Oryzias latipes: one gene and its partner. The protein of the gene in region 1 purifies or fractionates together with the protein of each later gene. This does not show direct contact. Links are inferred from orthologs where the notes say so. Each region holds a gene or a part of one and is shown in the gene's direction. Other genes may lie near its edges.

Evidence for each region. The genes of interacting proteins can lie anywhere in the genome.
Region 2: the proteins of g3bp2 (region 1) and caprin1 purify together in Homo sapiens (affinity purification with mass spectrometry; 5 studies listed by BioGRID and IntAct, with this or other methods). This does not show direct contact. The link is inferred for Oryzias latipes from reciprocal best matches to the Homo sapiens genes G3BP2 and CAPRIN1.

What each region holds. Positions count from the first base shown.
Region 1 is NC_019859.2:16,816,681-16,820,865, forward strand, and holds the start of g3bp2 (ras GTPase-activating protein-binding protein 2), read left to right. Parts: upstream 1-1,385; 5' UTR 1,386-1,578; intron 1,579-3,423; 5' UTR 3,424-3,447; coding exon 3,448-3,542; intron 3,543-3,623; coding exon 3,624-3,705; intron 3,706-4,080; coding exon 4,081-4,185.
Region 2 is NC_019864.2:14,871,555-14,875,054, forward strand, and holds part of caprin1 (caprin-1), read left to right. Parts: coding exon 1-128; intron 129-202; coding exon 203-311; intron 312-387; coding exon 388-449; intron 450-531; coding exon 532-624; intron 625-706; coding exon 707-853; intron 854-1,184; coding exon 1,185-1,338; intron 1,339-3,500. UniProt on the Homo sapiens protein: mRNA-binding protein that acts as a regulator of mRNAs transport, translation and/or stability, and which is involved in neurogenesis, synaptic plasticity in neurons and cell proliferation and migration in multiple cell types.

The sequences.
Region 1 (4,185 bases):
AATAAAATAACTAAATAAATATGCAAACAAGTATGGCTTTGCTCTGCTGTGAGGAAACAGTATTTGGGAATCTCTTCATGCCAGGAGCCAGCCTGGCCATGGGAGCATCGCCACAGTGCCCACCCAGACGGGGACAACACTCGGGTCCACTTCACAGACGTGAAGCTGCAAAGTTAGACTCCAGCTGCCCCAGCAAGGGCAACAACTGCAGCAACAACCACCGACCAAGCCGGCAAGCCCTGGAAGAAAATATCCCCACAAGAAACACTGGGGCTAAAATCATGATAAGATACTAAAATTAAAGATACTTATACTTACATAAAAGTGTCGACCTGTAAGGTAAGAGTAAAACCACTTAAGAACATTTCCAGAGAGGCCCACTAGACTCCTAAGTCTGTCTAATAAAATCTGGTGATCTACTGTATCAAAAGTGGCACTCAGATCTAGCAGTACCAGAACAGAAAGTTCTGTGAGTCGTAGTTTATTCTAAGATCATTAACGATCTTTAAAAGAGCCGTCTCTGTACTATGGTTTGTCCTAAAACCAGACTGATATTTTTCTAAAATTTTTTGGGTGATTAAAAAGTCATGCAGTTGAGTAGCGACACTTTTTTTTTAATAATTTTACTTAAAAATGGTAATTTGGATACGGGTCTGTAGTTATCCAGATTTTTTGGATCTAACTGACTCTTCTTCAGAAGGGGCCTCACCAAACCAGGGGAAGACCCCCATCTGAAGAGAGCAGTTAACTATGTTTAAAAGATCGGACTCAAAGAATCCATAAAATGTTTTAAAAAGTGAAGTGGGAATGTGATCCTAAACGCAGGTTGTAATGTTTACTTGAGATACAACTCGATCAAGCATCTCTGCATCAACAAGGACAAATCATCTTCCTCTTCATCTTCCATATCATTTCTCAACAATACAACTAGCAATCCAAATTCTTTTTTTTTTTTTTTTGCTAAGGTAAATAAAAGATTAAGAATAATGCATTTAATAAAAAGGGAAATCTGAATAATCCCGATAAAAATAAAAATAAATGAACAACCTATTTAAACAATACATACGTTAAAATACAGTCAAGATAAAAAAAAAAACATGGAGGAAGAATCTGTTAACCGTATGGGATTGTACTGGTTTTGTCCAATTACTAGAGACTCACAACTGAAACTGGAAAGTTAACATTTTTTAAAAGACAGAATTTGCCAGCATGTGAGTGGTTTTTCTTAAATCGTGATTTTTTAAAACTATAAGTATACATGTATATTTTGTAATGAAAGCGTTTTGTTAGTAGGCGTGGCCATTTTTCCTACGCCATGTTCACCTCAGCCGTCTATTGGCTGAATCAGGTTAATGGGGGTCCCCTACCCGAGATTACAGGGGTAAAATAATAAATCGTACCTATCTCTTTAAGTGGCGAATCTCTGGTGCAGCAGAGATCTGTTACTTGTAGTTAGAGGAGGTTCGAAAGTATAATTTTTCACATTCGGCATTCCTATATTTGGGAACAGTTTACAGTCGGGTACTTGTCGTAATTTATTCCACACGATTCTGTCTACTTTGATAGGTCCTTCAGAAGGTAAGTTAGTTAGCCATTCTCCAAGATTTCGGTTAAGCGAAGCAAACGTATCAGCTAGCATTGCGTTAGCAATATTGCCTTCCACACAACAACTGTTCGATTGTATTGTTGATATTTACAATTTTCAGTGAAACGGTTTTTTTTAATATAAGCAACCGTACTCCTAACTATACACGGGGACATTTTGTGATTCAAAGAGATTTGGAACACGCTTTCCTTTGTTGTCTTAAGCTAGCACCGACCGAGCATTCAGTTGTGGTGGTGGTGTTCAACGTTAAGTACGAATTTGGATGTTGATGTATTGACATAGCAAGAAAGTATTATTTCAAACATTTTTTTGTATTGATTTTTTTGTGTTGTAACCAAAAATACGATTTTAAAATGAGGAAGTTATTTTTACGTGTTTAGGCTAAGTTTCTGTAATGGCTAGTATCGCCAGGTGTTGCCGTCATCATGTTGGCATTTTCTATTTAACAGCTTGTGGTCAGCATTTTGGAGGTTTCCTGAACTAGTTTGTTGCAGTTGGTTTCAATAGTAATATAAAGTTAAAAATAAAATAAAAAATAACTTAGTCTATAACTGACTGTGAAGAAAATGCGACGACGCCACACGTTAGCTGAAGCTAGCTAGCTAAGCAGCAATGACGTTCTTCTTAGGGGTTAGCTGGCGTTAGCCATTTGGTGGCAGCGCAAAGGCCGGCATATTGTGAATAAAAATGTTATTTCACCTTGTAGTTAATGTTACGTTTGCTGACAGCGCGTGCACATTATGTCTCTACAAGCTCGGTAGAATTGGCATTCAGTAGAGCGTTTATACGTGTCTGTCACATTATGTTCTGAACATGCGTAGAAGAATGTTAGGTGATGAAGAGTTCTTAGGATGTGTAAGGCCTCCCCATAAGGCCTCTAGTCAGGAAGGTTTGCTTAGTTGTGTAACACATTCTTGAAATGTGGTGACAAATAAATGTAGAATTCTTTTTTTTTTTAAATTTTTTAATCTTCCTTTTTACACACCAGTTTGAGCATTTACACTAGATGTTTCCCGTTTTTTATTATGTACAGTCGGTTTGCCCCCCTTTGTCTTATTGATGTCGCAGAATGTTAACCGTTATGAACACCTTTGATCCGGATAAATGTTGTGATGTTCACGGTTTTCTCTCTTTTCATTACTTATTCATTTGACATGCTCTGAGAGAAAAATGTAAGGTTTTAAGTAATCGGCCAATTAGAGGAATCAAATGAATAGTTGGCCCTAGTCTGAAATTCTTATAGAATTTAAACCTGAATTTGAACGCTAACCAAATGACTCTAGGTGAGTTACTCATTACAAACAGCCTGGTTTGGGTTTAAAGGTTTCAGTACCTGCTTAAGGTCTTTATGATCATGGTAAAAATCTTCTTCAATTTTGCGTTTGTTTTTTTGTTGAAATTTTTATAAATGTTGTCCAACGTTTTAGATTATCTAAAGTAATCAAGGATTGGACTGGGTTAAAAACCCTAAATAGAAACAAGAAAATTTGTACTTTTATTTGAGGAAGATTAAATATGTCTTGAGATTTTGACATGCCTGTTTTCGAACAGTTGTCCTAAAGGTTACCGAATTATATTATCCAGCATTCAGCGATGACCTCTTATATTGTGGAGTTTAAAGTAGAAATAAGTCAGTTGAAATTCTATTTTATATCTCACTTTGTCCTTTACATGGTATTTTCTTGTTTTATATAAATTACTTATATTATATAAAACATCAGTCACCCGAGTCTGCAGTATGAAAACCTTTGTCATATCTGTGTCTTCATGCATAATTAGAATTTCTGATGGATCCTGTTTTTTTTTTTTTGTTTCAGCACTTAATATTGTTTACCAAAGAAATGGTGATGGAGAAGCCAAGTCCCCTGCTTGTAGGGCGGGAGTTTGTGAGGCAGTACTATACACTTCTAAACAAGGCACCGGATTTTCTGCACAGGTAACTTCAGAAATATAATTGAGGTATTTTATGTACAATAAATCTGCAGGTTCTTATTCAACGTCTTAATCATGTGTTTAGGTTCTACGGGAGAAACTCTTCCTATGTTCATGGAGGACTTGATCCAAGTGGAAAGCTGGCAGAAGCAGTGTACGGTCAGGCTGTAAGTGTGATCATCAGAAGGATTTTGTTGTTTGCTTAGACTTCAACTACTTTCTGTTCTTTGTTATTGCTTTTCTTATATTTACTGAGATCTAGTTCTCTATGGGGGAAATGCATATATATATCTATATATATATATATAGATATATATAAATACACACACACACACACACACACACACACACACACACACACACACACATAAATACAAGGTTTAAAAAAAATCTTTGGACTTTAAAATTATACAGCTTATTTAAAAATGTTCATCAATATTTAAATATAAATTCAAGAGTGCAACTTATGAAGGATGAGTGTTTTACATAAATTGTTTTCGTATTATATATTTATAAATTTATTTATTTTTTAATTTTCCTAGGAAATCCACAAAAAAGTCATGTCCCTGCAGTTCAGTGAATGCCACACAAAGATCCGGCATGTGGACGCTCATGCTACACTGAGTGATGGCGTGGTCGTGCAGGTC
Region 2 (3,500 bases), on another chromosome or scaffold:
CCCCCGGCTCTCTTGAAACCCACCCCATAGACTTATCGTCTCCCGTTCCACCCAGTGACCCCATGGTCCGGAAGCAGGTCGTGCAGGACCTCATGGCACAAATGCAAGGACCTTACAACTTCATGCAGGTGAGGTGGAACTCTTGGGAAACAAAAGTTGGCTCGACTTTGCGTTCTGCTGTCCTGAACGCTTTTCCTCTCAGGACTCCATGTTGGAGTATGATGGACAGCCCATTGACCCGGCTATTGTGTCAGCGCAGCCTATGAAGCCCGCTCAGAACATGGAAGCTCCACAGATGGTTTGTCCTCCAGGTAAGTTGTAGCTGATTATGATTAAAAACAGCTTCTTTAGATTTCCGATAGGCTGATAGAAGTTCCACCGTTTCAGTTCATCCTGAATCCCGGCTATCACAATCAAACTCTGTTCCTGTACAACCTGAACCCACGCAAGTGAGTGGTTTTATCTGATCAGTATATTCTTTGAAATATTACTCAGATTTCCGAGTTAAAGTATTCTCTTCTCTATTCCCAGGTGCCCATCGTCTCTCCAACCCCCCCACCCATGTATCAGAGCTCACACGCCCAAGAGCCTCGACTCTCACCTGAGGTCATCGACCCCATCCAGGTAAACCTGACTGGAAACTGATAAAAAATAATAATCCTGAGTGAAAGTGAACAAAGAAAGTAAACATGTGTTCCTTCAACAGACTTCCATGTCGTTGTCGACAGAGCAGCCCCCCCCCTCCACGGCTCTCGCCCCTGCCTCCCAGGCGCAGGGATTCCCGGCTGTTTCCAAGCCTCCCCACAGCAGCGGCATCAATGTGAATGCGGCTCCATTCCAGTCGATGCAAACCGTAAGACTCATGGCGCTCACTTCCTGCTGCTCAGAAGAAGTCTGATCAGAAACGCAGAGGCTGACCTTTGAGGCTGCAGTTTTCTGCTCCAACACACATCTGTTGTCAAGGGGAACTTGACGGCTTGATTTGAAATTCATTTTATTTTTGCATCCACTTTAATTTATCTTTTTCTCACTAACGGAATCGCTGAAGTTAAAGTTAAGCCAAAGACTGAGATGTTAATCCTGTCATGATGAAATGATGTACACAACAGGAATGGTTGATTCTGTGGGTCTGAAGTGAAGCAGCTCTAAGGTTTCATCTTCATGGAGGCTTTTCCGTTCCTCAGGTGTTCAACCTCAATGCTCCGGTCCCACCAGCCAATGAGGCAGAAGCTCTGAACCACGCTAACCAGTACCAGAACAGTTACAACCAGGCCTTCAGCAGTCAGCCGCAGCATCCGGCAGAGCCGGCAGAGATGCCGTCAGAACAACTTCAGTCCGGTGAGCAGACCTTCACAGACCAGAATATAAATGTCCCACCATTTAGATCAGCACTATTTGCTGTGCAGTGCTTTCTGGGTAATGAAGCTGGCTGCATTATTTCTGGAACTGGCAGTAACATTAATCAAACTTTCAATTGACTTGATTTCACTTTGACATTGAAGCTGAGCTGCTCATCCACTGCTTATCAGAAATGGGTTGTAGTGGGAGAAACGCACAAATGCAGGTCATCACTGATGTGTTTATGGTTCACTTGAACTGGGTTTGAACTCGGAATAGTTTGGGTCTAAATTATTGACAGCATTTCCCAGCAGTGACCAGTCCTGACTCCGGTTTCTGTGGGACTAAAGAAAATGTGCTGGTTTGAAGCTAAGGATCATCCTCAGCTCTTTACTGCTAATGTTTGTGTTTGTGTGGATACACAAAAAAGAGAGGCACTATTTTTAGTTACTTTTTATTGCCTTCTTTTTCTTTTTAATCACTCCAAAATGCAAGAGTAACTTTACTCCCACTTTAGCAAATTCCTCACACTTCAATGAATGAACCAGATTTTGCTTACTTATAGTTTTGTTTTTATTTATTTACAGATTTCTTTGTGGATTTTTCTTTTACCATTTTGTGTAAAATGTCCAAAAGAAAGCAATGGTTGCACAGAATACACTGCTGTTTGCATTAGTGTGGTGTAAACATAACTGAATACATAAAAAGCCTGTTTTTTAATAACTTCTGTCAGTCACACACCAACACGTCTTTCAAGCTCTTAAAGAATCTACAACATCTTTAAATAGTTTTAATTTAAACATTTAGATTGGTAAATGTGACTACTGTAATGCTTATGCGATGCTGAGTTACTTGGTTATAACATCCCAACTTTTCAAGAGTTTGAATAACCTTTAAAAATTAAAAAAATTTTATGTTTAGAATAACCACATTTGTAACTACCTGTTTTTAAAAACCACATTCTTTCTAGCGAAGGAGCTGCATTGTGTGTTCGTAGATTTAGAGAAGGCGTATGACAGGGTGCCGAGGGAGGAGCTGTGGTACTGTATGAGGTCGTCTGGAGTGGCAGAGAAGTATGTCAGAGTAGTTCAGGACATGTATGAGAGAAGTATGACGGTGGTGAGATGTGCTGTAGGTCAGACAGAGGAGTTCAAGGTGGAGGTGGGACTACACCAAGGATCAGCTTTAAGTCCTTTTTTGTTTGCTATGCTGATGGACAGGCTGACAGACGAGGTAAGACAGGAATCTCCCTGGACAATGATGTTTGCGGATGACATTGTAATTTGCAGTGAGAGTAGAGAGCAGGTGGAGGAACAGCTAGAGAGGTGGAGGTTTGCTCTGGAAAGAAGAGGTATGAAGGTCAGTCGTAGTAAGACAGAATGCATGTGTCTGAACGAGAGGGATCAAGGTAGAAGCGTTAGGTTACAGGGGGCTGAGGTGAAGAAGGTGCAGGAGTTTAAGTACTTGGGGTCAACAGTTCAGTGTGATGGGGAGTGTGGAAAAGAGGTGAAGAGGCGAGTGCAGGCAGGTTGGAGCGGTTGGAGGAAAGTGTCAGGAGTGTTGTGTGACAGAAGAGTGCCAGCAAGACTCAAAGGAAAGGTGTACAAGACAGTGGTGAGACCAGCTCTGCTCTATGGGTTAGAGACGGTAGCAGTGAGACAGAGACAAGAGGCTGAGATGGAGGTAGCGGAGATGAAGATGTTGAGGTTCTCCTTAGGAGTGACCAGGTTAGACAGGATAAGGAACGAGTACATCAGAGGGACGGCTCATGTTGCCTGTGTTAGCGACAAAGTCAGAGAAGCCAGACTGGGATGGTTTGGACATGTTCAGAGGAGGGATAGTGGATATATTGGTAGAAGGATGTTGGAGATGGAGCTGCCTGGCAGGAGGGCAAGAGGACGGCCAAAGAGGAGATACATGGATGTCTTAACAGAGGACATGAAGTTGGCTAACGTTAGGGTAGAAGATGTTCATGATAGAGTGAGGTGGAGGACGATGATTCCCTGTGGCGACCCCTGATGGGAAAAGCCGAAAGAGAAAGAAGATTCTTTCTAGCGAATGAATTAATCCACAAAGATACCTAAAAAAATAACTGCAAGCCCTTTTTTTTTTTGTCTACCCAGAAAACTGTTTGGAGAATTGTATTTAATAATAAAAAAAAG